4 linked regions of the Alligator mississippiensis genome follow. The protein of the gene in region 3 purifies or fractionates together with the protein of the main gene of each other region. This does not show direct contact. Links are inferred from orthologs where the notes say so. Each region holds a gene or a part of one and is shown on either strand. Other genes may lie near its edges.

Evidence for each region.
Region 1: the proteins of DLD (region 3) and PDHA1 purify together in Homo sapiens (affinity purification with mass spectrometry; 4 studies listed by BioGRID and IntAct, counting the BioPlex papers as one, with this or other methods). This does not show direct contact. The link is inferred for Alligator mississippiensis from reciprocal best matches to the Homo sapiens genes DLD and PDHA1.
Region 2: the proteins of DLD (region 3) and PDHB purify together in Homo sapiens (affinity purification with mass spectrometry; 3 studies listed by BioGRID and IntAct, counting the BioPlex papers as one, with this or other methods). This does not show direct contact. The link is inferred for Alligator mississippiensis from reciprocal best matches to the Homo sapiens genes DLD and PDHB.
Region 4: the proteins of DLD (region 3) and OGDH purify together in Homo sapiens (affinity purification with mass spectrometry; 3 studies listed by BioGRID and IntAct, counting the BioPlex papers as one, with this or other methods). This does not show direct contact. The link is inferred for Alligator mississippiensis from reciprocal best matches to the Homo sapiens genes DLD and OGDH.

The regions. Positions count from the first base shown.
Region 1 is NC_081824.1:319,711,521-319,718,819, reverse strand, and holds the start of PDHA1 (pyruvate dehydrogenase E1 component subunit alpha, somatic form, mitochondrial), read left to right. Parts: upstream 1-4,282; 5' UTR 4,283-4,421; coding exon 4,422-4,484; intron 4,485-4,547; exon of another isoform or gene 4,548-4,562; coding exon of another isoform or gene 4,563-4,565; intron 4,566-7,299. UniProt on the Homo sapiens protein: The pyruvate dehydrogenase complex catalyzes the overall conversion of pyruvate to acetyl-CoA and CO(2), and thereby links the glycolytic pathway to the tricarboxylic cycle.
Region 2 is NC_081835.1:892,659-900,610, forward strand, and holds the start of PDHB (pyruvate dehydrogenase E1 component subunit beta, mitochondrial), read right to left. Parts: upstream 3,004-7,952; 5' UTR 2,989-3,003; coding exon 2,890-2,988; intron 2,814-2,889; coding exon 2,706-2,813; intron 2,621-2,705; coding exon 2,558-2,620; intron 2,473-2,557; coding exon 2,437-2,472; intron 2,252-2,436; coding exon 1,966-2,251; intron 1,092-1,965; coding exon 981-1,091; intron 287-980; coding exon 195-286; intron 1-194. Other genes in the region: BTB/POZ domain-containing protein KCTD6, read left to right, coding at 5,477-5,503, 6,924-7,610. UniProt on the Homo sapiens protein: The pyruvate dehydrogenase complex catalyzes the overall conversion of pyruvate to acetyl-CoA and CO(2), and thereby links the glycolytic pathway to the tricarboxylic cycle.
Region 3 is NC_081827.1:28,232,674-28,239,508, reverse strand, and holds the start of DLD (dihydrolipoyl dehydrogenase, mitochondrial), read right to left. Parts: upstream 3,007-6,835; 5' UTR 2,942-3,006; coding exon 2,903-2,941; intron 2,144-2,902; coding exon 2,068-2,143; intron 1,877-2,067; coding exon 1,797-1,876; intron 1-1,796. UniProt on the Homo sapiens protein: Lipoamide dehydrogenase is a component of the glycine cleavage system as well as an E3 component of three alpha-ketoacid dehydrogenase complexes (pyruvate-, alpha-ketoglutarate-, and branched-chain amino acid-dehydrogenase complex).
Region 4 is NC_081830.1:10,102,465-10,109,803, reverse strand, and holds the start of OGDH (2-oxoglutarate dehydrogenase complex component E1), read left to right. Parts: upstream 1-4,325; 5' UTR 4,326-4,437; intron 4,438-7,339. UniProt on the Homo sapiens protein: 2-oxoglutarate dehydrogenase (E1o) component of the 2-oxoglutarate dehydrogenase complex (OGDHC). Participates in the first step, rate limiting for the overall conversion of 2-oxoglutarate to succinyl-CoA and CO(2) catalyzed by the whole OGDHC.

The sequences.
Region 1 (7,299 bases), on a different chromosome or scaffold from region 3:
ATACTGCAGAAGAAGGAACAACAAGAACAAATAGCTGGCAGCTGAGCCAGGCAAATTCAAATGAGACATGAGTCATGTTTCTAACACTGAATGTGATTACTGGAACAGACTCCTGAAGGAAGTGGTAAATTCCATGTGGCTCTTCTGCAGGGATGGAACAGGAACATCTGCCCCTTGAGCCAGAGACTGTTGTCCTCTGTTTGTGCCTGCCAGCCACTAGAGGGAGATGAGGCACAAATTTTGCATATGGATGTTCTAGATTTTGGCTGACAACAGAAGCATTTACAGAACCATCTGGTTCTAAGAGGAATATACTTGAATGGTAACAGAAGCTACAGCCCCCTTTACATTTGACCTATATTTCTCTGTCTCCTCCAGCCCACCTTCATCCCATCTGTTCTCATCCCAGTTCATCTCCTCTACACTCATTCCACATCCCAGACTCACTCCCTATTGACAGCCCAGCAAGAACAGTTTGTCCACTGTCAGTCACTGTAACCACAGTAGCCACTCAGCACCAATGCGGTCCATAGCTGGTGTGAGAAGCAATAGCATGAACATGTTTTTGCTGAGCATGTGACCTGTGGGGTTTTTTCAGAAACTCATAACTTGGTAAGTCTTTGGAGGCACAGGAACTTGTTAACTTCAATAGGACTTCACACATACTGGAATAAATGCAATATGTATCATCTCTCGGTATTTAATTTACAAGTAATTATATGCTGGATATTTTTTTCCTAACTTGATATTTAGCCTCATCCTTGGCTAAGAGAAAATAAATATAAAGTCTAATTACTGTAACATTGAATAGATATTGAAGTTACTGGGGGTTGAATCTACTCAGCACTGTTCTGCCGCCATGCAGCATTTCAGAGAAGCATATCCTTAGATAGACATCACTTTCAGTGTTTTTAAAACTCTCTCCTTTCTCAAACAACAAAAAAAGAGTCTCAGCACCTGACCATATCTAAGTCAGGGTTCCGAAAAGTACGGCCACATTCGAGCCACAGCTTTTTGGAGATACAGTGTCAGCTTTTATCAGCAAAGCTTTTATCAAGTTTTCTTTCATAACACATCAATCTGAAACTTGAGTTCTACAATATCTTAAAAAGAAAGAAACAGAAGAGATCTTTGAAATACTGAAAGTATTCTTCTTTGAAGTCTTCCTATTACTTGGATGAAGCAGGGGCCTTTTCCTCTTGATGGAGCATAGGTGATTACACACCAATATGGTTTTCTCTGATGTGGGAAAAAAAAGAATATCTAAAGTGAGGATCCTTGAATGAAGAGCATACAATGATGAAAGGTTTCAAATACATCTTTTGCACACAGACATACTATAAAGTGTGTGTGTAAAGCATCTCCCTGGATTTTTCAAAAATTGGTTAGAAAATAAAAGGATTTGAGGTAAGACTCTCTCTTCTTCCTTCTCTGCCTTTTTTCACTAAGATCAAGTCTTTACTATGTAAGCATTGCACATTTAGCTCCCGTATTCCCCATCTCAACCCATCACTGAGCTAAGCAGGCTACATCCTTACTATGTAACTTAGTTGTGTCCTTCCCCAACCCAGCCTATAACATGTAGTCACCCTTGTCTGAGCCTCTATATTTCCTTCTACTCCTTCAACTGGGTAACTTCTTTTTAGCATTCACTAATAAAGTAAATCTGAAAAAGCTTATAAATGCTTGTGAAATTTCATAGCACAGGCAATAGACTGAATAGAAGCCCAGAGGCATGAAACTTGACACTTAATAACAATCCTGGTAGGAATTAGGAGTCAGTAGAAAAGAATAAGGTTTTCTTTTGCTTTAAATATTATTTTTAAACTATTTTATGTTTTATTGATAATTCTGTCACTGAGCCTGACTTTCAGTCAAATAAAAATAAGAGATCTCTTTCCCAAAGCATCTACAATATAAGTTAATACAGCATGTTCTGTATCAACACGTTGTTGAGATTCCCAGTATTTCTTAATAATTTCTCATATTTTGAGCTCCTTGGAGTTATCTGTGTATGTGTGGTTATCTTTATGTGTTTTGTATAGTGTGAGGGATGTCATTAATAAAGCACAGAAAGGGGAGGGGGGAAGTGGTATTCTAGAGCAAGGATTCTAAAAGTGAAACATCTTCCCGATTATAATGTCAGCATCTGGTGAGTTCAAGGGTTTCCCAAATTCCAGTGGAGAAGCAGTGGTCATTTTAAAAATTGTGTGGTTTTCTAATTTACAGTTTTGCTACAAGCAAAACACCTGGGAGATTCTAAAAAAGCACTCTCCTTGTTTTATGATTCTAGAAAAGGGCTCCCGTAGCATCCCCCACTGTGACTCCTTAATGTCACAACCCAAAGTTGTGGTTTTTGTTTGTGTGTGCTTCAGCACCGCTAAATTATTGTTCCCGCCTAAATTGTAGCTTTCTTTGCATGGTGGAGTTCTCTGCTGCTGGAGAGAACTCCGGTGCAACGGGGGATTTCCCGCCGTTTTGCAGCTTCTTTGCATGGTGCATTTCTTTTGCATACTAGTGATGCACGTTGCAAAGGAGTTCCCGCCATTTGCATTTCGATTCGCGCCACATTATTGGCCGATTCTAAATGTAGGCACACGTGGCGGCTAGCTATTGGCTTGCTAGCCGTACAAAAGGCTTGAGTGGTTTCCGCCCAAGTTGGAGGACTCCACGAACACCAGGAGGAGGAGACTTCACACTGTGTGAAGATCTCTAAGCGCTGCGGATCCTTACGGACCCAACGCTTTTCTCAAGCAGGCAATAGAGGCTTAACGATCGAACCCACGGAGCTTTAACTACTCCGGAGGGGAAACAAAAGAACAAATCGCCTCTAGCCTCTCCCCATCGCCGATCGCAATCCAAGACATATCCCTTTCCTGTAAACCCAATTTTCGAACCCACGGAGCCTAAACAACTCACCTGTAACTGCTACTTCTCCATAAGCCACAGTTGCTTGTGTGGCAGCTAGCTTGCAAAGCTAATGCTTTTTTATGAGTTTGTCAAATATATCTGTATAAGTCTCTGTATATGCTACTGGTATGCATGCCTACATACTACCAGCATCATAGTTTGGAGGGCTGGCTTGTCCAAAACGATCAGTTAGGAGTTGGAAAATGGCAACAGCACCTTGAAGAGTCAAAGTCTGGCCTGGCAAAAAAAAAATCATGGGATGTCTAATGTCCAACCCCATCTTCCACTTCCAATCCCACTGCATGCTATACACTTTGAATGAACTTCCCTCTCCCCACATGTGACAGTGATGTTGGTTTAGACATGACTACTTCATACCAGCGAAAGCAAAAGTAGTTATACGAAAGCAGTGACGTGTCAGCATAAATCCCCTTGTCTAGACAGGCTGCAAATGATTAAAACTTAATATACAACTCTGACTGAGTAGGGAACATATCGACAGTCAGCTTCATGACCGTATTGTAACCAACAATTCGCTTTGAGCTTGGCGTCTTGGCCACATGTATAATTAGCTCCAGCCCAGGTAATTACATGCCAACTACCTAACTTTTTTGCAATTGCGATTCCAGGCAGCAGTTAGATACAACACAGCTAAGGCCAAGCCTTCAAAAATTAGGCATCGGCCTCTCTCACCACCTGACATCAGGAAATCGGTCCAAAAATAATCAGATTTTTTAAAGAGATGACAAATATGATTTTTTCTTTTTTTTTTGGCTCTTTTGATGGTTGGGTGGCCCTAGCTCTGTGTATTCCCCTGGCTCTCTACAACATGGAGAGCTATGCGTCCACATGAAAATAAAATCAAGGAAGGAAAGCTCAGATTCTCACAAGGTTGCACTGCACCACGACTTGAGGCAAATGCCAAATAATGCAAGGCTCAGGCCAGGCATGCCCCAGCCATGGATACTTTACACTTGGCCCTGGGGGCTGCAGCCACCTAGGCAGGCACTTTCAACAGGTCTACATTTTTTTTTTAAATAATAATAATTTATTAACAAAAAATCCACAACTAATGTATTAACTGACAACTCATAATAATTATTGTAATAACTGAACATTAATGTTTATCCATGACATGACTTTGGGAATTGCAAAGGGGGGGGGGGGAGGAGCTCCCCTGGGATCCTCCACTCCCATCACTGCCTTGCTAGGGCCCCTGGGCTGTCAGCCCTGGAGTCCCAGTGCGCATGCGCAACCAGGAGCCGAGCGCTCGGGCAGATTCGTTCAAATTCCTTTAGGAACGTGGAACTCGGGGAGCGTTGCTGGTCGGCCACAACTCTATAGCGAATCTCCCTTTTGTCAGCCGCGGAGCTGTCACTCCGGGCTAGATTCCGGTCGGCCCAACGAGAGGACGTGGTGCGGCGGAGGTAGTGGCCGCGGGGCCTGGCCGGCGCTGAAGGAGACTCGAGGACACGGGCGGGCGTTGGGCGTTGCGGCCTCTTCCCCGCTCCATGCGCAAGATGCTGCTGGCCGCGCTCTCCCGCGTGCTGCAGGGCCCGGCCGCCGCCCGGACGGTGAGCGAGGGGGGACACACTCGGCCTGTTGCAGAGCCCGGCAGCCCGGACTGATCTATCCCCCTGCCCCCGGTCCGAATGGTACTGCTGGGGGGGGGCCGCGAGACCCCCCCGCCATACGGAACCCACCGAGGGGGGGAGGGGACGTTGGGGGGGCGTAGCGGGAGTGACATGGAGGGGGCGGGGCCTGGCTTCGTTGCCAGTGGGGGTCTACGCGGGGGAGCGGGTGTCCAAAGGGGTCCTTGCGGGGGAGCGTTGGGCTGCCCATGGAGCGCCTGTGCCTGAGGGAATGGGGGCATTTCTAGCAGGATGAAAGTATTTTGAAAAAGATAATATTAGGGGGAAAAGCCTGCGTAGAGGTAGGGCAGTGGGGCTAAGCCAGGAGGCCGCATCCTCAGGAGCCTCGAGGTCATCTCCAGGGGGCCTCGAGGTTCCACGCTGGGTTGGCGCCGCGTCGGCGGGCGCTGTCCTTTCTGCTTTGCTTGGTGTCCCCTCTTGGCACTTGTGTTTCTAGCCTTTGACCTCTGCTCCCATCCCTGTTTTTATTATTATTTGTCCCAAGCATTCAGTAACACATCTCTAGTGGACCCCTGTGTTAGAGGGGGTTATAGTTTCTTTGGCGGGCCTGGCCCAGGAAATCCGGTGAGGTGTTAAAAGGCCATTCATCGTACGACCGCCATGTGCCACCTCTACCCACTGACATCATGTGGGAATGTGCTCTGCACATGCCCCCCTGCCTTGCCGTGCCCTGTGCGCAGTGTTGTTGGTGGAAGAGTGCCTCTGGTATTTTTCCAGTCACAGCCCCTAGTGCAGATTGGCACGTGGGCAGCGGCTGCCTCAGGTCCAAGGGGGCGCCATGAGTCCAGCCAGGTTGAGAGCTCTTGGTGGAGATACCACAGGCTTTTGTAAGCTGCTTCCCCTGGCGACAGACGCCGTAGCTGATGGACACTTAGAGCTTTGCAAGTGCTGCTCAGACGGACAGCGAGCAAGGCCGACATCACTGGCCCAGGCTGAAAGGTTGTGCAGAGTCGTGGCGCTTCTTTCTAGCCAGTGAAAATGAGAATTGTAAGAAGGCACTGCTCAAAATCGACCTGCCGCACAGGCAGGCGATGCGAAAAGATCCCTGTTTCAAAAAGGTGCAGTGCTCTGCTGTGCTTCTTACATTGAAGTTGTTGTGGGCTGGTTGTTCTCTCTGGGGACTCTTCCAGGCTCTTGTGGGGTTATTTAAAAAAACAAAAAAGAAAGAAAGAAAGAAAACATCATCTCGGATCTCTCCTCTTTCCTCCCCACCTGTTCTCCTGTATCATCCCACACTCCTAATGTTGTCACTTCCTTTGTTGTCTCTTTTCTGTATTCCCAATCACTTGGCTTTGATGCTTCCTTCATTTTTCTCATGCCCTCACCTTCATGCCATCTTGTTATGCTATCCATGCTTGTGGGATAGTTTCTTCTTTCTGCCATGTCTTCTCCAGATTTTTGCTCTTCGTTCTGCCTTTTCATGCTGTATTTTTCCCTTCTGTCAGCTTGTGTTTGGATTGTTCAACACAACAGGTAATTAGCATATTCTGTCTGCTGAACCTGGTTTGTAAAATGAGATATAGATTTGCAGTGGTGTGTTATATGCGCTACTCTTGCAAGTGGCTAATAGGAGCAGTAGTGTCCTCCACTGTAGTGACAGAACTAGTGTGCCACGTGGCTACTAGTTTGATGGTTTGGTTCATTTGGAACTAGGTGAGCATTTGTCTTTGGCTACTTCCTACAGTTGTTGCAAAAACTTTTTTGAAAGGCTTTACAGAGTGTGTATCCCAGCCAACCGTTCCTTCACCCCACTTGAGAGTGGTAAAGGGAAGTAAGGGCCAAAAGTGGGGGTCAACTTGGGGCACTTAGAACATTGTTGTAAACGGCAGGAAAGTGTTTGAGCTCCTTGTGTTTGGCTACTCAGTCTGGCTGAAAGCCGTATTCAATACATAGGGAGGTTCTGCTAGTTTAAACAGAATGTCAGCGCAGAACAATATGCAGCAAGGTTCAAATACTGAACTTGTTAATGAAAAGTAAATTATAAAGGCTGGAAAAGGAGGTTCAGTCTTTCCTGAGTGCTAACATCAGTAGTTCAGGAAGTCCATGCTGATCTTTTAGTTTAAAAGTCCCTCTTCAATCCTAGCAATTGTTAGTACAGGCAGTCCTTGGACTTACCACAATTGGTTTCTGGAAACCGGGTCTTAAGTTGAAATGTTGTAACTTGGAACCAATTTTCTCATAAGAAACAATGTTATAAATGGGGGATTGGTTCCTGAACCAAGGCCTGATACCCTATGTTCACCAAAAATACCCCAGAATTTTGTACTCGATCAATTATAGATGAGTGACATAGTTACATTAATGTATTTATATTGTAAATAGCAATCATATTGATTTGGAAGGACTTCTTTGAGGTGACTGCTGGACTTTTTGAAGGGCTCTTGGTTGGACTTTTTGAAGGGTTCTTGGCTGGAGTCTTCTCAGGAGTCTTGGCTGCAGGTTTTTCTGGAGTCTTGTCTGCTTTCTTAAAGAAAGTGTCCAAGGAAGTTTGGACAGATGTTCTCCAGGGAGATGAGTGATGCAGCGAACTTGTTCACTGGTGTGGTATCACATCAGATCAAGCGTTGTAAAGTCGAAACTGACGTTAGAAAGTTGAAACAGGGTGTCAGTTTATAAATGTTGCAACATTTCGAGTTGCAACATTTTGCACTTACAAGTCAAGGACTGCCTGTAATGAAAAGAAAGGAATTGGAGGACTAAGGTGACAGATGTTTTGGCAGGAGAGTCTAAAGTGCTA
Region 2 (7,952 bases), on a different chromosome or scaffold from region 3:
AAAACAGTGTGGAATCCTACCAAGTGTGACAGTGTTTTGCAATCTCAAATGCAAACTTCCACCTTGCTGGCAAAGCACAAGCATGGCTGAATCCCTCTTTAGCTCAGGAATCAAAGCAGTTGAGAATGAATCCAATTTAAACGAAAGATGTTTTTCATCCTGGCCTGAAATACCACTGAGTGAGTGGGACATACCTCACACTCCACCCCTTCTTTGGCAAGGACAGCAGCTGCTTCCAGACAGTGTCCAACAGGCCTCGAGTGCGACACTAACGTAACGTGCTTTCCTGAAACACAGAAGCTGGTGGTGGATCAAGACAGATCTTCCTGTCAAGCAGCTCAACACTAAACATCTCTGAAAAGTTAAGTGTAAGACCTCACCTTTTTGACCTAGCTAAAGTCTAGCGTACTCAGCATCTGACTTGCATGTCAGGACTAGCCTGAGAAGTCTGTTACTGGAACTCTTCCTGAGTTCGACTACTTAAGAGCATCGTTCTTGTGCTCTGTGTATTGGCAGAATGGATGGGATCAACTTGCTATGCCACGAATAACAAGTTGCTTGCATGCTTCTACAGCGAAGTTATACACAACTGACAAGAGGTTTGAAATGCTGCACATTAGTGACCTTTCTTGATATGCTGAGCAAAGAATCTAAGCTCTGGTTGTGGGTGTTGTTTTCTTTTCACTCGTTTCAGACAGTCCAACTGCACCAGGCCTAGCTGGCCACTAGAAAGTGTTTTAATTGTGGGTCAAGATGGCCCTGCCCTAAATTACTTTGTCTGTGAGTAATAAGTGCTAAAAACAAATAGCTGGTAAAATCCAAATGACCAGAAGTCTTAGTAGTGTCCTTCTGAATAGTTCCCTGTTTTGCAAGAAGGAAGTACTTTATAAAGGAAAGCACTTAATGAGTTCAATTGGTCTAGCAAGGAAAGAGAACTTTTACAAGTGAGAATATACAGAATAGTGGTATTCTGAACTTACCCGGCCTCTCTATTTTGGCTTTGCCAATAGGAACCAAGAAGTCCTTTGATTGCGTTTCCTCCGACATCTCAAAGGGAACTCCATACATCAGTTCATGTTCCAGCATCACAACTAAAGATCATTAGAGTGGTCACTTGGGTTAGTCTGGAGGTCCCCCAATCCAGGTGCCACACAACATTTTCCAAGACTGTCAGGGCCCACGATGGTGGACTCCTCCTCTCGGCTCAATTACAGGAGGACAAGCATAACGCAGCAGCACGCTTAGACAAGCCCAGAGGACTCGAAGCTTCACTTAAGTAGCTATTAACTTGTAGCACTGCACAATTTTGAAATGGCTTCTTTGACTGATCCCACAGCCAGAGGGTGATTTCACACTAAGCATTTGGAGATGCAACATTTGGGGGGTAATCAGAAACCCAGAACTTGCTCCCAGACGGCTTCCACATCTGTTCCACAGACACGCAAGTGACGGCTACAGGACTGGGTCTAAAGGGCCAGGGCTATGCTTGTCATCCTTTTCCTAGGACAGCAGTGCACAAGCTGACCGTCGGGGGGGTGCCCATATTCTAGTTCAGCGTTTCCCAACCAGTGCCGCAGCGTGCTGGGATGGAGCCAAGCCCCTGCCTGCTGCTGCTGTGGGTGGACACAGACAGACGAGGAGCATGACTCCAGCCCAAAACGCTGCTGGGCCGGCCGTGCGCCACCCCGCTGTCAGCATCCGGCTGGCCACACGCCACCCCCTGCGCCGTGGTGCTTCTTTATTGGGAAATGCCAGGGGGAGGAAAAGGTTGGGAAATGCTGTTCTAGTTTAACTTTGGTTTTGAAGAAGAGGTCGCGGTCAGGAGAAAAGGTCTCCAGGATTACCTTCACGATTTGAGTCCCACGCTTTAAGCGCGTTCTTCGCGGGGTCAAGGTGGAGAAGGGAAGCGGAGGGCGCGCCGAGACTAGTTATTCGAGTACAGCGGGACTTCCTGCTGGTAATTACCTGGATTGTCGTCCCGGATGGCCGACTTGAGCAGACCTCTCGCGTCTTCGGAGCTCCATGGGCTGACCACCTTCAGCCCAGGGCAGTGCCCGTACCAGGCGGCGAAGCACTGCGAGTGCTGCGCGCCGACACCGGCCGAGGTGCCGTTGGGGCCCCTGAACACCACCGGGACCGAGACCATGCCGGAAGACATGTAATAGGTCTTGGCAGCGGAGTTGATCACCTGGTCGATGGCTTGCATGGAGAAGTTGAAGGTCATGAATTCGCAAATTGGCCTCAGCCCAGCCTGTTAAACAAGGACACGGGCCAGTCACGAAGCCTCGTCCGGCCTCCTGGCGCCCCCCGTGCCCTGGGGGGGTTAACCCCGCTCCCCCTTCCCGCGGGGCTGCGGCGCACGGAGCGGGCGGTGCGCCCCCCCCCACGCCGGCCCGTTTCCGAACCGGCTCCTTGTGCGCAGCGCTGGGCACCCACCATGGCGGCTCCCACGGCGATGCCGGTGAAGCCCATCTGCAAGGGAGGGAAGGCAGAGGGGTGAGCGCGGGGCAGGGGTAGGGGCAGGGGGGCGTGGGGGGGCGGGGCGGGGCGGGGGTACCTCGGAGATGGGGGTGTCGATGATGCGCTTGTCGCCGTACTTCTTCCACAGGCCGCGGCTGATCTGCGGGCGCAGGCAGAGCGTGAGGCGGGCCCGCGGCCCCCCGCCCCCCCGCCCGCCCGGCCCGGCCCGGCCCGGCCCCGCTCACCTTGTAGGCGCCGTCGTACTGCGCCACCTCCTCGCCCAGCAGGAAGACGCGCTCGTCGCGCTCCAGCTCCTCGTCCAGCGCCTGGTTCAGCGCGTCGCGGACCGTCACCTGCGGCGCACAGCGCGCTCACGCCGGGCCCGCCGGCCGGCTCCCCCCGGCCCCGGCCCCGGCCCCGGCCCGGTACCTGCACGGCGGCGGGCGCCGAGGCGCGGATCCCCCGGCGCAGCGGGCCCGGCAAGCGGTGCAACCCGGCCCGCGCCAGCCCCCTCAGTGCCGCCGCCATCTTGGATGTGCCCTCCAGCGGCAGGGCGTGGCGTCACGCCCGCACCGCCCAATGGGCGCCCGGCCCCGCCCCCTCGCTGCCTGGCAACGGGGCGCCGCGGCGGCGTCTCGCGAGAAGCGGCGGCGGTGGCGTGCTACGTCACATCCGCTCTGGGTCGGGACGGTACGCGGCGAGGGACATAGTGCAGCGGCGCGGTGAGTGCGGCCCCGCGCCCGCCTGAGGGGAGTGGCCCTGCCCCGCGCCCCTCGCCCGCTGTCATCCCCTCAGTCTTCCCTTCTGCAGCCTCCACGAGCCCATTCCCCGCCCGCCGTGACGGGATGAAGAGGTAGCGGGCGGGCGGGCGTTCGGTGGCGCTCGCGCCGGCGGTTAGGATTTTGCCCCGAGCGGATGCGCGTGCTCCTTAGCTCGCGGGGCCGCCGAAGGGTGTTCCTGCCCAAGACAGTTTTATTTATTTTTATTTTTTTGCAAAACCCTCGTGGGTCGGATGAAAGAGGTCACCCCTACACGGGCGGCCCCACGAGCCCGGCTAGCCGGGCAGAGGCTCCCAAACCGGCTTCCCCGCAGACTCCGACACAAAATCAATGACGCATCTAGATGCTTGCTTTATTTATTGATGTATTTATCAAAACACGGGCTTGCCTGAGCTAATTGCTCCTATAAATTATTTGCTCGGTGTTACGGTGGCGGCGCTGTCGCCCAAGGGTAGCTTCGGGCAGCAAGATGTATCTGCTCCGTTTTCTTTGTGATCGCCCAAGCGGTGCCGTGGCGGGATGGATCCGTCCCAGGGGCTTTGGAGATGGCCTCTCTCCTGTCACACAGATGTTTGTCAGAGAAAATCTTTTCAGTAGATGGGTGCAGACCTCTTTATGTTTCTTCCCTGTTTAGAGTTGGTGCCATTGAGCATTTATTGAGACGTCATTGATTATACGCGTGTAAGTCGCACTGTTTTCCCAGGTCTGCTTCCCCCTCCTCTCCTTACTGTGGGGACTTTGTCAGAGGCCCTCCTTGCCCTTTTCCTGAAGAAGTGCCGCGGCCTGATGCGAAGTGTCCTCTCGCACCTTGCGCTGGAACAGAGCAGTCCCTGTCTAAAGGAGAAACCCAGGGTCTGCGCCTCCAGGCTAACGCTAGCGGGGGGAGTAAGTTGCCGTTGAGCTGGGAAGCACAGAACAGCTCTGCAGGCTCGTTGCCCCGATGGCTGGTTCTTCTCGCCTGCGCGGAAGAGCCGACGCTCTGAGTTCGTATCTCTCCCTCGGTCGGCAGTCGTTTGTGCTGTGCTGAGGCAAGCCTCCCCTTTGCCTTGTCCAGCATGACTCATCCACGCTGCCGATATTGTGTTTAACTTATTTGCGTTTTAGTGCTTGGGAAAAGGTGTAGGGTTGGACACGGGATTCTCCTGTGGCTGGGGACATGCGATGCCTGCCTTGTGTATGCCTCTGCTCTCCACGTGCAGCTGGCCTTTGGGGAGAGCTCTCACGCTCTGCCGTTGCAGTCCAGACCTTCTCTGAGCAGAAAGCACTTCGCTCTTGCCATGCTCTTCTCAAGTGGGGACACGGGCCTGTGACGGCTACAGGAGAGCAGGCTGTTTGGGTCAGAAATTGAACGCTACTTCTGTAGTCACTGAGTGGTGCAGAGCTCTGCCTCGGCTCAAGCGCTGTGACTTTACTTGCTGGGTAACACGTGCCTGGGTTAATTTGTTTCCCAAAGCTCCCACAAGATCCTTTCTGTACCAAACTGTTTGTAAGTCCTAGAGTTTAAGCCAGAGGAGACCTCTGCTACTGCCTAGCCTGGTCTGCCACCAACCCAAGTCACAGCATTTCATCCATCCTTCCAGCAGTGGCAGGATGGCAGGCTTTAATGGGACCTTGCCCTGAAGGTGAATGTTCCTGACTACCTATAGGAAGTTTTCTTTTACTTCCCTCCTGCTCCCCCCAAGTGACTTCTGAGTTCCTGCTGCTGCTGAGATACAGAATTATTGACTCATAAAGCTAGCACACAGGTCTCCACATCTACTGAGATGGACCTTCAGACATGAGATGAATAAATCAAGCATTTGGCTTATGTAAATGGGGTTACTTTTTAAGATAGATGTCCCCCACTCAGATGAATTGTAGCTGGTGTGCGAGTATAAAACTTCAGAAATGCCATGCAGGCTATTTAACAAATCTGGAATACTGAGGACAGCTTGTGAAGGCACTGCTCTCTCTAGATAGGGCCTGTCTTCAGGCAATGGAAAGGATGCTGGAAGATCAGTATAGGGAAGTCCTCATTTGTGGGTGTTGCTGCTATGCTGCCTGAATAGGTGACAGCAAGACCCAGCCTGTCTTTGAGTAGAAGCACTTAAAGACCAGCAATGCTTATAATCTGACAGATCTCTCTATTTATTTGTTTTATCTATCTGTTTGTCTGCAGGGGGAATAGACGTGAATTGTATATCCCTTCAGCAACCTTCTGTTAAACTTGGACTCCCACAGATCAAGCAACAGAACAGATGGATAATGGAGACTGGGGATATATGGTAAGTGAGCCAGTACAGATGTGTGTGCATGCTGAGAGAGACTTGGGCTTTCCAGATTTTAATGTAAGGATCCCCTCCAGTCTCTTGGCTTTGTATAGACCCAGAGAAGAAACTATGGGAAGAAAAATCTTATTAAAAACAATTTACTTACATTGTCTTTAGGTGTTTCATTTCAGTATGGCTGTGGGGCCTTTCACGTTGTTAATCTCCAGACAGTGCAGGGATTACATAAAACAGTGGGGTCAGCCTTTTTGGCAGCTGTGCTACAAACTAGCCCCACTACTTCCCCAAGTGCCGCACTGATCCTGTTCCCTGGCCAGTCAGCTGCTCTGCTTTCTGTTCCCTTCCTTGTGCTCCCTGCCTGATCTGCTGCTTTGCTTTCTGCTTCCTGCCTGCCTCTCTGTCTGCCCTATCTGCCACACGCCACACATGGATGCTGCCCAGGCCACTCGGGGCACGTAGGCTGACTTAAGACAACACTTACAATTCTCTTAAAAAGATCGGGCCACAATGATGGGCTAGGAAGTGTTGGAAAGCAACCTCCTTGATGTACAGGGTCCTGGAAAAAGCAAAATCTTCCATGTTCCTTTACGTATTTTGATGCCATTTTATTTGGGGAAAAACTATTCTTGCCTCTTAAACTGCATTTCTGAAACTAGGCCAGACTCGCTCATCTTATTATTGCTCTTTCCTTTTTTCCTCTAAGCATTCTCCTCTCTTTGGATACATCTGGCAGGCCCTCAGCCCTGGCCATGACTCAGTGACCGAGTGGGATCTGTATTTCTTCTCTCACCTGCCTTTCTGGGTGTGATGTGGGTGGTTATAGCTGTGGGCTGCCTCCAGTGCCCAGGTACCCCCTCTACACAGTCAACATTTTGTCTGACAGATGTGTCTTTTGCAAGCTGAGGCTACAGTATTGTCTTCATGGCTCCCTACAGCTGAAGCAAAAGTTGACTTTAAATGACCTTTAATTTTCTGCAAAGAGATTTGAGGCGTATTTGCTATGTTTCTCTCAAAGCATGAGACATGCTACGAGACGGATCCTTGGGCGTCTGACTCCGTCTGGTTCTGTAGGCTCAGAACGATCATCCTTTGCATCTGTTTGACATCCTGCACAATAGGAAACGCTTACCTTGCTGATGAGAGAGTCCTTTGTGCTGACAGGAAGCTTCATGCTGGCCTTAGTGTCTGTAAAGCACCTCACAATTTGCGCTGAGCTTTGGATATTCTCTCTTGTAACCAGCTGTGCTGTGTCACCAGGTTTCTTGTCTTTGCTCAAGAGTGAGGCCTTTCCTGGGTTTGCAGCTGAGGAGATGCGGTTCTTTCTTGAGCCCATTTCTAGCAGTAACTGCCATGTGCCTTGGTGATAAAATTCTCGTGGGGACTTGATAAACTCTGTCATTTCTCTCTTTCTTTCTAGATGACTGATCCAGTCACAATCAATGTGGGTGGACACATGTATACAACTTCCCTGACCACTCTCACAAGGTATCCAGATTCAATGCTTGGGGCCATGTTCAGGGGAGACTTTCCCACTGCCAGGGACTCTCAGGGTAATTACTTTATTGACAGAGATGGACCACTTTTCCGATACGTTCTTAACTTTTTAAGGACTTCGGAGCTGACTTTGCCATTGGACTTCAAGGAATTTGATCTGCTCCGGAAAGAAGCAGACTTCTACCAGATTGAACCCCTAATCCAGTGTCTTAATGACCCCAAGCCTTTGTATCCTATGGATACCTTTGAGGAAGTAGTGGAGCTGTCCAGCACACGGAAGCTTTCCAAATATTCCAATCCAGTGGCAGTGATCATAACACAGTTAACCATCACGACCAAGGTCCACTCCTTACTGGAAGGCATTTCAAACCACTTCACCAAGTGGAATAAGCACATGATGGACACCAGAGACTGCCAAGTTTCCTTCACATTTGGACCATGTGATTACCACCAGGAGGTTTCTCTCCGAGTCCACCTGATGGAGTACATCACAAAGCAAGGCTTCACGATCAGAAACACACGTGTCCACCACATGAGTGAACGGGCCAATGAGAACACGGTGGAGCACAACTGGACTTTCTGTAGGCTGGCACGGAAAACGGATGACTGATGTTTGACTCCACAAGAGCAGTGTCAGTGGCTAGCGGCTTTCTGGACAGTGCACCTGTGTGGACCTGGGTTTGACTAAACCAACAGCGTGTGCTGCTTTTTTTTTTTTTTTTGTATGACTATTTATTAATATTCATTAAGGTCTAGGGAAGTTACTTTCTCTAGCAGCTCTGTTTTTGTTTTGTCCAGAAACAAAAATGCATGTGCCTGTTCAAACTGTTGAGACACTTTTTGGGTAAAGGGGGTTCTAACAACCAGTGGGATAGGACCCTATGTGTCATTAGCACAGCTAAGTCATTTTGAAGTGCTAAAATTTGCCTCTGTTTTAAATGGTCTCTAATTC
Region 3 (6,835 bases):
TATAAAAGTCCCAGAGGAGTTTTCCACTAGATTACCTCAAGAAAGAGAGAGGCCCTCCTCTTGTTTCTGCAATGCTCAGCATGACATGGACAAATATATCCAGCAGCAATATATTCTGTGGTTGACTCCCAAGGCAGACAGTGTGACAAGTTTAATTGCCTCAGACACTCGTCTGCCATGACAGAAATGAAGTCTCTGAGTTGTCTCTTTCCCTTCTCAAACATCATGTTTATGATAATAGCATACCAATAATCTTGAGGGAAATGTTTGCCTGCTTCTGTTAATCCTACAGCCACAAGAAGAAATTTAGTCCTCTCTCATTCTTTTGGTGCTAATGTGCCAAATAACTTAAGGCTCTTGATAAACTCTACTGACAAACACATTCAAGCACTGGTGGCTCAGGCCAAGAAATATCAGCAAACAAGACCTCAATACGAGCTGAACAGCAAGAAAAAGAAATAGTTAAAAGTAAGAAATTCTTTTGTACTGGAATACAGAGAACTAGAAAAACATTAATGACAACAGACTCTTATTCAGCTGAACTGTACCACAAACAACAGGAAGAATAAAAGAATATTCAGCAGCACTTCACTAACATTCAGAAAAAACAAGACACTTTGTTCACTGCCACACTTGGAGGCAAACCTGGGTGCAAAAGGAACATTTAGAGATCAGTATTTAGACTTGAGTGTGTTCTAGGTTCCCTCCTCACTGTCATCTGCCACCAATGCCCTCCAGGATTAAAAAAAATAAAAATTAAATTAAATCAGAGCTGCGATCCTGTTACTGGTCAGAACCTTGCAGTGTGTTTTCCTGGAAGAAACTGTTCTCTTTTCTACTTTTACAAACATATAAACTCTCACAGGCCACCCTATTTCTTTTGTTTTAAAGCTTAGCTAGTGTATTCCTTATTCACTATTATATTTATTATTGATTTTAATCTATTCCATAACTCAAATTTAAAAGTAGGTTGGTTGAACAATGTACAAAAAAATCATTTAACCTTTGTTGGTCAGTTTCCACATTAACCCTTTGTTTGTGAAAACCTTTATCTAGATCAGCAGCTGGCAACCTTCTCAAGCCTCAGGCCAGAACAACCTAGCTCTGGTCCAGTGCAGGCCAGGTGGTTTCTATGGTGCATCAGCAGCAGCAAATTTATCCCTGTGCCCATACTGGCACCATGCAGCTAAAAGCTGTGTCTATGCCACCAATGCTTCTCCCAACCCCTGCTTCCTGGCTGAGGCATGGGCACAGCTTCCAGGTGGTGGGAAACTGCACTGGAGCCAAGCAGCTGGAAGATGTGCTCATGCTGCTGTTGCCACTTCTGTGCCACAGCTGGGAAGTAACAGGATGTGAGGAAAAGAGGGAGAAGCAGCGGCAGCAGCATGGACGCAGCTTCTACCTGCCCATCCCCGGTACAGTTCCCCATCAGGGGAAGCTGCATCCACGCTGCAGCTGCAGAGAGGCTAGGGGCTGGGGGAAGAAGCAGCAGCAGCAGCAGCAACAACAGTACAGTTGGAAGTTGCCTGGCCCTGGTGCAACTTCTTGCTGCTTAGCCTTGGCATTAGCACAAGCAAAGCCCTTGGGCCATATCTGGCCTGCAGGTGATATGTTGCTAACCTGTGACCTAGATTGCAAGCTCTGTGGAACAGGACTCTGTTACATGCACGTGTAGGTCTTAGTGAACTCAACACTCAATAGGACGGCTTCAGTTCTCTGGCCCTGCAGTTATCCCTCTCAGCGCACCTGAATTATGCTGTTTTCTTTCTTGCACCCAGTACAAGTTTTCATCTTACCTTAAAACCAAGTTGAGCTGCTTTGATAGCAGCAACGTAGCCTCCAGGACCAGAACCAATGACTGTAACATCTGCGTCAACTATGGAAAAAAAGAATATCACTTTTAAGTTACTGTTGTTTCTGTAACTTTGGTTTACTGCAGTTTCATTGTGACAGCCTACAATGCTCCACACACTGACTGCCACAGGGCAAAAAGAGCACTAGTTTTAGAACTAAACTAGAAATGCTCCTTCAGTTCCCAAAAATGATTTCAGAGCCATCAAGACTTACCTTGCTCTGCAAAGGTCCTCTGCGGCACTGTGCAAACCCCTGGAAGGCCATGCTGGACTCGGCTAAAACAGCTTCTCTAGAAAGGAAAAGCAGCATCGGCAAAGTTAAGCGCCTCGGCACGGCACTGGCAGCCTGGGCCACCTAATGCAAGTCTCTCCAATTCCCAGAGCCGCTGCTGCTGCACACAGGACTGACCCCGGTTATTTGGAGTCAGGGAGGAACATCGCAGTCAGAGCAATACCGACCACGGGGGTTTTGCCTTCCTCTGTAACGGGGGACGAGGGCCTCTACCCAGGCCCTACTGAGCGTGCACTGACAATATTTTATAGAAGCAGCACGCCCGCAGCCTGGGCTCTCCTGCTTTTGCTGCGACACGTTGGGGTGCTATGACCTGTCACGTGAGGGCTGGCAGTAGTTTTACACAGAGTTTAGGTGTGAGGTTGGCCTGTAGGGCCCATCCTGCCTCAGACAGCAGGTTGCACCCAACGACCTGTGCACACCCCTCCCGCCCCCTTGGCTTTGCCTCCCTGACCCCGAGCAGCCATGACCCTGAGCAGCCTTGACCCCGAGTGCAAGGGCGAGGGCCAGGGCAGCCCCCCCCAGGGAGCCCCGCGGCTTGTACCATTCGGGGGGGGGAGGTGGCTGGGGAGGGAGAAGCAGGAGGGGTCCCACACAGACCCCCCCACCTAGGAGTGAGACACTCCATGCAGGGGGCGGGGAGGAAGCACCCCCCGCCCGGGAGTGGGACGGTCCATGCAGGGGCGGGGGGGGCCGTGCGTGCCCAGGGAGGGGCTCAGCGAAACGCAGGCAGCGACCCCCCCGCCCCACGCGGTACCCGGGCGAAGGCCCCGCTGACACGGCTCCAACCCTGCATTGCCCCAAGGTCTCCGCGGACTCGCGCAGGCGCACTAGACCCGGGGGGCGGGGCCGTGGAGCCGCCGAGGAGGGCGGAAGGAGCCTGTCGCGGTCAGAGCGCCCCCTGGCCTGGCGGCCCGCGTGGGGGCGGGGCCATGCAAATGAGGCCCTGGGAGGGCCCGCGGCGGCCCCGCCCCCCGGCTGCGAACTCTCGGGGCAGCGCCGGCTACATGCGGAGCAGTTTCGTGTTGGCGAGCGGGGTCTGCGGGGGCGAGGCCCTGCACGGCCTGTGCAGGAAGAGAGAGGAAAGCCAGACGGCCTCTCAATTAAACCTCGCCTCTACTGGTGTTTTGGGGGTCACTTATTTTTTAATGATGCCAGAGGCATCTACCAGTAAGTCCACCGAGGAGTATGCGGAGCAGTCGACTAGATGCCAAAAGAGCAATACTATTGTCAGGGGAAAACTCTTACTAGAAATCATTTTTTTAAGGTAGTCTTTAAAATGTCTGTGGCAGTTCAGTCTCGGACTTACGCCGACAATTCAGCCTTTGCCAGTTCTCATTCTCTGCATACGACAAAGGCTGCCAGGAGGTGGCAGTGCTTGATTAGCTCCCTGAAGGAGGTGGACCTCGTTATATTTATACAATCAGAAAGTTAAGGTTGGAAGGGACTTCAGGAGGTCATCTAGTCCAACCCCCTGCTCAAGGCAGGACCATCCCCAAATAGATCATCCCAGCCAAAGCTTTGTCTAGCTGGGTCTTAAAAATCTCCAAGGATGCAGCATCCACCACCTCTCTGGGTAACCTGTTCCAGTGCTTTACTACTCTCCTAGCGAGCAAGTTTTTCCTAATCTCTAACCTACACTTCCCTTGCTGCAATTTGAGACTATTGCTCCCTGTTCTGTCATCTGCCACCACTGAGAACAGTCCAGATCCATCATCTTTTGAGCCCCCTTCAAGTAGTTGAAGGCTGCTATTAAGTCCCCTTCCAGTCTCCTATTCTCTAGACTAAATAAGCCCTGTTCCCTCAGTCTTTCCTCATAAGTCATGTCCCTCACCCCCTCACCATTTTTGTTGCCCTCTGCTGGACTGTCTCCAATTTGTCCACATCATTTCTGTAGTGGGGGGCCCAAAACTGAACACAGTACTGCAGCTGTGCCTTCACCAGTGCTGAACAGAGGGGAAGAATCACTTTCTTTGATCTACTGGCAACACTCCTACCAATGCAGCCCAGTTTGCTGTTAGCCTTCTTGGCAACAAGGGCACACTGCCGGGTTATATTCAGCATGTAACCCTCAGGTCCTTTTCTGCAGAGCTGCTGCCCAGCCAGTCAGCCCCCAGCCTGTACTGGTGCATGGGATTGTCCCATCCTAAGTGCAGGACTTTGCACTTGTCCTTGTTGAACCTCTTGAGATTTCTTTTGGCCCAAACCTCCAATTTGTCTAGGTCACTCTGAATCCTAGCCCTACCCCCCAGCATATCTATTACTCCCCCCAGCTTGGTGTCATCTGCAAACTTGCTGAGGGTGCACTCTGTCATCTTCCAGGTCACTGATGAAGACATTGAACAAAACTGGCCCGAGGACTGACCCTGGGGCAGTCCACTTGATACTGCTGCCAACTAGACATCGAGCCATTGATTACTACTCTCTGAGCCCAATGCTCCAGCCAGTTTTCTATCCACCTTACAGTCCATTCGTTCATATGCTTCCTTAGCTTGCCTGCAAGAATGTTGTGGGAGACCGTATCAAAAGGCTTGCTAAAATCGAGGTATATCACATCCACCAGTCTCCCCACATCCACAGAGCCAGTCACCTCATCATAGAAGGCAATCAGGTTGGTCAGGCATTACTTGCCCTTGGTGAATCCATGCTTACTGTTCCTGATCTCTTTCTTCTCCTCCAAGTGCTTAGAAATGGATTCCTTGAGGATCTGCTCCATGATTTTTCCAGGGACTGAGGTGCGGCTGACTGGTCTGTAGTTCCCTTTCTTAAACATGGGCACTATGTTTGCCCTTTTCCAATCATCCATGACTTCCCTTGATCACTGTGAGTTTTCAAAGATTATGGCCAATAGCTCTGCAATCTCGTCAGCGAACTCCCTCAGCACCCTTGGGTATATTCCATTTGGCCCCATGGACTTTGTCACAACCCAGTGATTTTAGTGCCTCGGCACAGTGGAATTTTCCTGCCACATGAGAGTCTCTGTGCACAGCAAAAGTTTTCTGTTGCAACAGAAAACTCCGGTGCAAGAGAGTTCCTGCCATTCGTATGCAAATTTGTGTCCCACTATTGGCCAGTTCTAAATTATTCCTACGTGGCGGCTAGCGATTGGCTTGTTAGCCGTATAAAATTCTGTGCAACTTCCGCCCAAGTCGAAGAACTTTGAGCACGTTGCAGAGTGACTTTGAAGATTCCTGACTCATGGCTGAGCTGATCTATAGCCTGATCAACTATCGATTTGTCTCCCCGTCGCCGAGCGCCATCCCTCGACGTACCCTTTCCCTGCCGGCCTGGTTCGTGTACGGATTCGCTGGCCTGAGCCTTGCCAGCTGGAGCAACTCGTGTAGTTGTTTAAGCGACCGGACCACCTGCGTTGCGGCTACTAGCGGCGTAAGTAAAGCTTATTTGCAACCAATATGCTTTGTCTGCCTCTCCATTCACCAGCCCGCCCAACAACCGAGTAATTTCTAGATCACCTCAAGTCGGCCCTGGCCGTCTGAGACATGGTGACGAGGATGGGATCTAAGGGCATGGTGATGGAGATGAACCTAATTGGGTGCTGCCCTTGGCGCACCGGGATCCGCTGCGTGGAAAATGCAAACGATCTATGGGCGCATATCGCCTACCACCAGGCGGTAGAAGGGGATAAACGAAATATTGACGGCTACTTCTCCGTAAAGAAAGAAGAAGTGGTCATAAAAGAGTGGAGAACAAAGCTATCCCTTGGGGAGTTCGGGTGTATAATGGGGAGCGACCGGGTCTACTGTCGACCCCCGGAGGAAACATCGACCATATCCCTAGCTGGGGTGAAGGCGCGGAAGGCAGAAAAGCTGACCCCTGCTCAGGAGTTTGCTCAATGCACCCGATACCTGAGGGAAGAAGGGGAACCCACCCCAACGGACTGGTTCAACTGTCCGGATTTGGTGCCTGGGTCGCGGGGTCATGAGCTTCTCGTTCAGCTCCGGGAGGACCTGGAGACCAAGGGCCATCACTTGCCCAGATGGGGTTTAACCAAGTGGAAAAAGGGAAAAATGATGAATGTGTTGTTCCATACAGTAGCGGGTCTACTAAGGGAATATGCAAATTTGGAGGTTCAGCTGCATACGGTGGGTAAGGAGTCGCTGGAGTGGAAGGCAGAGAGCTCCAGAGCGATGCTTATCAATAGCGCCGGCCGCATGATGCCGCTGATAGAAAATGGCGCTGAAAGAAACGCGAGCCATCCGGAAAACCCGGAAAGGAGGGGCGGAGTTTCGGAAGACCCGGCGGGGATCTGCCTAGCAACTCCGCCCCCTGAGGTGACGTCGTTCCCAACGGCCCCGCCTCCTTGCCATGGGGAGGGGGCAATGGGAGGAGGGATGTACCCAACGCTCCCGCCTGAAGAATTTAACTCTCTCTCCGCCGCAGCTCACCCGATAGCTGTGATGAAGCGTGTTGCAGATGAAGAAGGTACCACGCGTACCACTGTTACTTCTCGCACGCGCACCCGACCAGAAATACAGGAACTTTGCAGAGAATCTAAAATAAAATCAGAAGAGACTTTGGCCATGTGGTTGGGGCGACTAATAGTAGAATTCGGATCTGACATCTTAGACAAGGAAGAAGCGAGTGCCCTGACCCGACAAGCGGCGTGGAGCGGAGGGCGTGCTACTGATCTGAACGTGGTCACGGACAGTACACACTGGCCCATCCCACT
Region 4 (7,339 bases), on a different chromosome or scaffold from region 3:
AGCCTGGGCCAGTGCGGGCAGTGATTGCAGGGGAACTGATGTCAGGGCGGGCTCCCCACTGGCGTCATGGCCACAGATGCTGGCAGCTCCTGGGGGCTTCCTTTGCAGCCTGGAAAGTGGGAAACTCCGTGCTGATGGAAGCTGGTTCCCTGCCTCTTGCCTGATGCAGGGCTGTGATTGGGCTTGAAACTAGGACTACACTCAAGCCCAGGGCTGACATTGGGAGAATATCCCACCCAGAGCTTTGGCTTTGAGTGCTGACATAGAGGTGATACTGAGATTATAAAGAAGGTATCTAGGTCATCAAGAAGGTTCTGAGGTCATCAAGGCAGTGCTGAGGGCATCAAGCCAGCATCCTGGTGCCCATGGCACTGCCAGGCCAGGCAAAACCTGGCAGCAGCCTCAGTGCCCTGCTGGCACCTCTCTCAGTGCCCCACAGCCTGCTGCCCATCTCCTTATGGGTCCTGCCCCATGCCCAGGTCTTAATCCCTGCAGGGTGGCTGTAGCTCACGGGGACGTAGCATCATGCCAGTGGACCAGGCCATGCCTTCTCTATTGGCGTTCACAGTCACCCTTCCCAGAGCTTTTTAACTGCTTTTCTCCAGCCACAGATCAGTCCCAAAGATGGCATTCCAGCTTCTCTGGGTTGGGTGATTCTTGGCTCTGAAGAACCAGAAGCCCCTTGACGTGTCCAAAGGCATCCAGCTTCCTCGCAGCCAGAGGAAAGGAAAGAAAAGACCAGATGGCAAGTGGAAGAGCAGGGTTTGTGGGAATCAGATGGAACCAGAGGGCCAGTGGGGGTCGCAGGGGTTATGTCTAGTCCACGAAGGATTGTCTCCAGTTTATTCCTGCTGATATGTCACCCCAGAGGAGCTTTTGGATAGGCACCCACTGGTGTTGCCATCAGCATGAAACCTTCCAGGCAAGCATGGCGGAAGCCTCTGTGAAAACAAGCAACTCGTTTAGTCCCCCAACCAACTCCAGGTTCTGCTTAATAGCTCCCTTCAGCCCCCACTTGGACTGAGAAAAGCCTGGCATTGATGCCCCTCCTGACCCCTTTATTCCCTTGCTGGACCTGGAAGCAGAGTCAGCTGAACCCACACACCCATTTTAGCCTCTGACTAAGGCTGGGGGCTCTGATATGTATGTGGAGTTACAGCATTCACATACCACCGGGCATAGAGCCACAGGGCCTGGACACACTTAGCCCCATTTAAATCCAGTTGAAACCCACAGAAGACAACTGTACACACCTGTTGTACTGGTTTAAAGCCACCTGGGATGGTTCAACCATGTGGCCAGGAAACCCAGGGCTACTTCCATCCAGTGCGGTTATAGGTAGATACCAAGCCTTCTGCAACAGATCTGGTCGGGCCTCCAAGCATCCCACACTGCATTCTTGCCCCCCCTCGCTGCTGCCATTGGCCGCTCTGGTACACAGCCAGAATTCTACTGCTCCTTGTTTCCCCCCACTACTTTCATTAGCAATTTTTATCGCTCTTTACCTGGCTTGGTCAATCCAGGTGAACTTCGTAATGAACAGCTGTGTCCTCATTCCCCACCTGACTGCAGCCAAACATCTGCCCCTACCAGCCCTTGGGAACCCAAAGAGGTGGGTCCAAGACCTCTCCTTCCCCCAAACCAGCAAATGTGCCCCAGATTGCAGGCTCTTGATTGAACTTCTCTATAGGCGATAAGGGAAAGCAGAGCTAACAATCCCCCAGCCACAGATTACCCACTCCTGAAACCCCCAGAGGATAGGTGCAAGCCCTTGCTCCCCCTAGAAGCCATGTCCCCAGGAGCAGGGCAAAGGGTAATGAGGGAAGGGATGGGTCCTGGAGGATGAAAAGCGCTGCAGGGTGCTTGGATCATAGCTAGGAGGGAAATGCACAGCTCAACTGGGTGATGGTTTCTACCCTGCCCAGGCAGGCCGCTCCCATGCCCATGCCCATCTGCTGGGCCTGGTACCAATGCAAAGGAGCCATAGGAAAGCTGCTTTCCTTGTTCTCTCATCACACCCAGCCTGGGGAACTCCCAGCTTTCTGACTTCCTTCCTCAGAGAGTTTCTGGCACTGGGCACTTCCCATCTCAGCCCCTGCCCCAGGGGCAGGGAAGGCACTGGGCACTGTCCCCAAGGGTGCCGAGCTGTGCAAGGCGGTAGGTGGATGGATCCTGATGGCTCACAGGTGCAGGGGGATCTTAGACTCCCAGCTCCTCCTAACACCGCAGACCAGCCCCATGCACAAGCTGGGAGCCTCTGGCACAGGGAACGAGGGCTGGCTGGGGGGGTTCATTGCCCACTGCTGCAGTGGAAAGCAGCCCCTCCACCTTCTCCCGCCTGTCTAAGCAGAGGATGTGGGGATCCTTTCCTGATCCTCACTGCAGCTCAAATCTGGTGAACAATGCCTAGCATCTGAAATCTTACCTACATTCAGTAACCATCAGAAAGGGAGGATGAAGAAGGGAACTACAAATAATACAGGAAGTATCCTGTTGCCTGGTGCCTGCACCTCGAGAAGGAGACAGAAGAATTAGAGAAGGTGCAGAGAAGGGCAACATGGATGATAACTGAAATGGAGGGGCTTCCCTATGAGATGAGTGTATGGAGGCTAGTGTGAGAGAGACGGAGAGTGAGAGAGGGTGTGTGGGGTGGATAGACGGATAGATAAATAGTGTGGGTTGGATAGAAAGACGGATAGATTGTGTGGGGTGAATAAATGGATAGAAGGACAGATAGTGTGGGCTGGGTAGACAGATAGATGGATAGATAGAGTGTGGGGTGGGTGGATGGATGGGCAGGCCTATTCAGTTTGGAAAAGAGACACTTGAGGGGGGCAGGATCAGGGTTTCCAAAAAACTAAATGGCAAAAAGAAAATCAATAGGGATTTATTACTGACTGTCTCTTCCCAAACAAGACCGAGGGGTCACAACATGAAAGGCACAGGTCATTGGTTTAGAACAGACATCAGGCAGTTCTTTCTCCCCCAGCGGGTCATTCAAGGGTGAGACTTGTTGCCAGCAGATATGGGGGAAGCTGAGAGTCCAGCCAGATTCATGGAGGGATTGGAGTTGTTCATGGCAGAAAGCACGGCAGTGAGATGCATGGCCTCTGAACTGGAGCTTCACAGATCCTAACTGCTGGAGGCTGCATATGAGAGAGGAACAAACCCTGCTCAGACCCAGCGGTCTCCCTTCTAGCCTTCGCTCTCTGCCGCCCCGTGACGCAGGAGTTTGAGCAGGATGGACTGAGGGTCTTCTCTGCAGTCCCTGGCAGCTCTGATGTCCTTAACTCTACCCCAATGTGTGGTAGAGATCCCTCGAAGACATCCCTGCCCCTCAGCACTGAGAAACCGAGCGCCAGAGATCAGGATGAGGCCTCCGTGGGCCACCAAACCTCAAAAAGGAAGTTCCAGTTCTGGTGATTTGGGATGAAGCCAAAGCCTCCCTGGCTGGATTTTCTACCCCTCCCTCAATAAAACCTCCCTTCCTTTCTCCCCAGACCTGGCCTCAACGGGTTAGTCCCACTGAAAGGGACCCCCACAGTGACTCCTGCCCCTCCTGGTGTAGGAGCTGGGGGCAGGGACACAGCAGCAGCAGTCAGGGGTTTGGAGTCCCCTGGGGCAGAGGCGACAGAGCCCTGCTATCAGGGGCGGGGGTTGCAGGAATGTGGGAATGAGCCTGGGGGGCTCTGAGATTCCCCAGCAACAGCTGCTTCTCTCCCATCTAGGGGACACAGGCCGGGACATAGTGTCCCCTGCCCAGACTCTGCTCTTGCCTCACTTGCCATCTCCTCTGCGCTGGGCAGCATTAAGGATAATGAGTGGCTTGTCCGGTGACATCACTCTGAGTGGCTATGACATCACAGCCCCTCTGTCACCGAAGGGGTCATGTGAGACCCCACCTCCTTAACAGGGGTTAAGGTGACATCTGTCTGTAGCTCCAGGTTGGGGGACTGAGGTGCCAAGGTGGGAGCCCAGCCTCCTCTCCACACCGCATGGGGAAACTGAGGCAGGACGACATTCAGCAGGATCAAGAGGAAGGGTCCACGCGCCACAACAGACTCCCGCCACGAAGGCAATATCCAGGCCCCACCCCTCCCGCGCTAGCTCCCTCCACTTACTGCCTGGCCACGCCCCTTAGTCTCCCCGCCCATTGGCAGCTGGACGCCTGCCAGTCACGCTGTGGGCGGGGCAGTACGTAGGGGGCGGGGCAAGCCAGCGTGTAGGGGGTGGGGCCAGGGCGGTGACGCACAGCGTGTAGAGCCGTGGCCTACGCGGTGACGCAAAGATAAGGGCGGGGCCTGGGCGGTGACGCGAGGCGCAAAGGGCGGGGCCTGGGCGGTGACGGAGGCGTAGGGCGGCCGCGCGGGCGGTAGTTGTCGCTGACCGGGCGCTTCTGTCAGAGTGGAGCTACGAGGGGGACGCGTGTGACGCCAGGTACTGTAGCGGCGGGGCGCGGCGTGGCGCGGTGCGGGGACCCGCGGCGGCCGCATGTGCACCCCTTCCATCCCTCCGTCCCCGGCTTCGACTTGCCCTTGTCCGGGCACCGCCTGGGAGCGGGGGAGTGGACCGGGGCTGGCGCGCCGAGCGACAGCCTCTCAGGCCAATGGGGAGCCGGCGCGGCGCACTTCTGCCTGTTCACTGGTTGCCCCGTTTGGCGGGCTGCGGGGGTTGGACGCCGGCGCCTGGGGGCGGGGCCGACCCAGGATCACCCAGCCGCGCCCGCCTGCTGGCCTCCTGGGTTCCCTGCCCATCCCCCACACCCCGCTCTCCCGGGTCCCTCCTCCCTACCCACACATTCCCCCACCCCTGCATGGGCTGGGGGGGGAAGATGTCAGCCTCCTAGGTTCCCTAACCCCTCCCGCATTGTCCCCCGTGGGGCATCCCCCACATTCCCGGTTTCCCTGGCCCCCCCCTGCAGCTCCCCAGGCAGGCAGACAGGGCTGCTGCTGTACTGGGCCCCCTGGCCCTGGGCAGACCTTGGTGCTCTCAGCTGTGGGGCAGGACAGCAAGTGTCCCTGGTCATGGAGCCTGGGGGGGAGTTGGCAGAGTCCAGCCCCCTGCTCTGTGCAGCATGTGCCTGCCAGACCCTCCCAGTCGAGTGTTTGCTGCTCCTGCTCTTGGACACTTCCAGGGACAGAGACTTGGGAGGCCTTGGGCAGCCTGCACGTCCCTTCTCGATGCCAGCCTTAGTCTCCCCTGCTGCAGTTGAGGCTGTTTGCTCCCCGTCCTGTCCCCATACCCGTCCATCCTCTGTCATTGCCCTCAGGGGGCTCGAGGGCTGGGATCCAATCCCCCTCCCCCCCCCCCCCCCCCCCCCCAGGCTTCTCTTAACTTGACTTGATTACCCCAGCTCTTCCAGCCCATCCTTATCAGTCCTGTGTCCTGGGCCCCTGATCTTTTCTGTTGCCCTGTGTTGGACTCTTTCCTGCCTGTCCACCTCCTCCATAATGTGCAGGGCTCAGAACTGGCCACAGGACTCCAGGCAAGGCCTCCCCACCCTGGGACTGCTTTCACCCCTGTTCTTGTGAGTAAAGCTGGGGGATTTAGTCTCACCATGGGTGTCGAGATCCCCAGTGCTGGATGGAGCTGTCTGAGCTTGATTGCACTGAGGAAGAACCTGTGCTCTTTCCCCCAGGCTGGACCCCACAGACAAGCCCTTAGGGAGCTCCCTTCTGTGCCCTAGCTTTAGTATCAGTCCCAGCTGGTGCTCTCTTGGTCTCTGTAGACTTTATTTAGTTCATCTATAAGGTGTGTCTTTACTCTGGCTTCAGACTAGCAGGATTAACCACCTCTCGGGGTTTAGCTCTGCCCTTGATGGAGCTGCCTGGCTGGGACCTATGCTTCATGTCAGCACTGTGTGACCTCCCAGGAATGTGTCATTCCCTGCCTGGCACCTCTGAGGCAGGCTGGGAGAAGGGTGTTTCAAAGGCAAAGCAAGGAAGTTGCCAGTCCAGCCCTTCTGGGCATCTGCTGTTATGGCAACAGTTGTTGGTGCCTTGTTCTTCCCTATCCCTTGCTCTCCTGCTGGTAGGGAGTCCATGCTACAGCGTTGAGGGTACTCTGGTGTGCACTGCGATCCTATCAGGGGTGCCATGCTAGCCCTGTGAGGTGTGCAGGCATGAGCTCCCCCTCCCTTGTCTTTCCTGTTCTGATCTCTCTTCTGCACTGCTGCTTGTAGGTCCTTTCCCAGCAATTGGTGAAAAGAGCTTAGGCTCACGACAGCTTGTTGTGTGTAATGTACACATGCATTCACATGTACACACACGTATGCGCACACACTACATATGTCCTTACTCTGTGTATGTGATCTACATAGTTACTGTGCCAGGCATTCTTCAGGATGCGTGTGGCCAGATGTAACATTTATCACAGCTGAGGAGGTCATCCGGTGGGTAAAGCAAGACCTTATCACACTGTAACTCAGTCTTTGTAGTACTTTTATATAACCCTGGATGAGACCGGGATAACCCAAGAACTTTGGAGCAGGGATGGCATATAGATATGGCCCACAAGCCCAGTCCAGCCTGCTGGATTTATGTGGTGCCATGCAATTCCTAAAGAGCTGCCATAGCCTCGGTCAGACCCTAAGTCCATTTTGTCTAGTCTTCTGTGTCGTACGGTGGCAGAGAGTAGATGTCAAAAGGGGTAGTGACCTGGGTATGACCAGAAGTTTTTCCATTCCTTCTCTCACTTGCAGCCTTCAGCATTTAGGGTCTAGGAGGCTGTGCTACTCACTCTTGTACTTGTTGGCTACTGATGCCACTTTTTCCCCCAAGCATATGTCCAATCTCTTGGTGAATCTGGCCAATCTCTCAGCTTCTCCCACATCTGATGGTAATGAGTCCCACTCTTGAATGACCCGCTTGGTGAAGAACTGCCTTGTATTGGTTTTGAAATGAGCAGGCTGTCGGTTTATGTTGTGACCTCATACTTGACTGGTGAGATGGTCAATAAGAAATCCCTATTGACTTTCTTTGCCACTTAGCATTTTGTTAAACCCTGATCCTGCCTCCCCCGGGAGCTTCTCTTGTCTAAACTGAGCAGACTTAGCCTTATTAGTCTGTCCTCAAAATGAAGCCCTTCCACAAAAGGATTTTTATCTGGCCTGGTGTGAGGAAGTGGTGTTGAGGGGGAGCCATAGGTGGTTAGGATTGTCTGGGATGGCAGCATGTGGCATGGAGAGCTGGCAGCCTCACCCAGCTTGGTGGGAACTGTGGTGGGGCTGGGAAGTTAAGATCTGGCTCAAGGTTCCCAAGTCAGGCTGTCAGATACTTGGCAGGAAGTGGGCAAGGACTGCCATGGCATTGGAGAGTCTGACGTGGCACTGACAACCTGG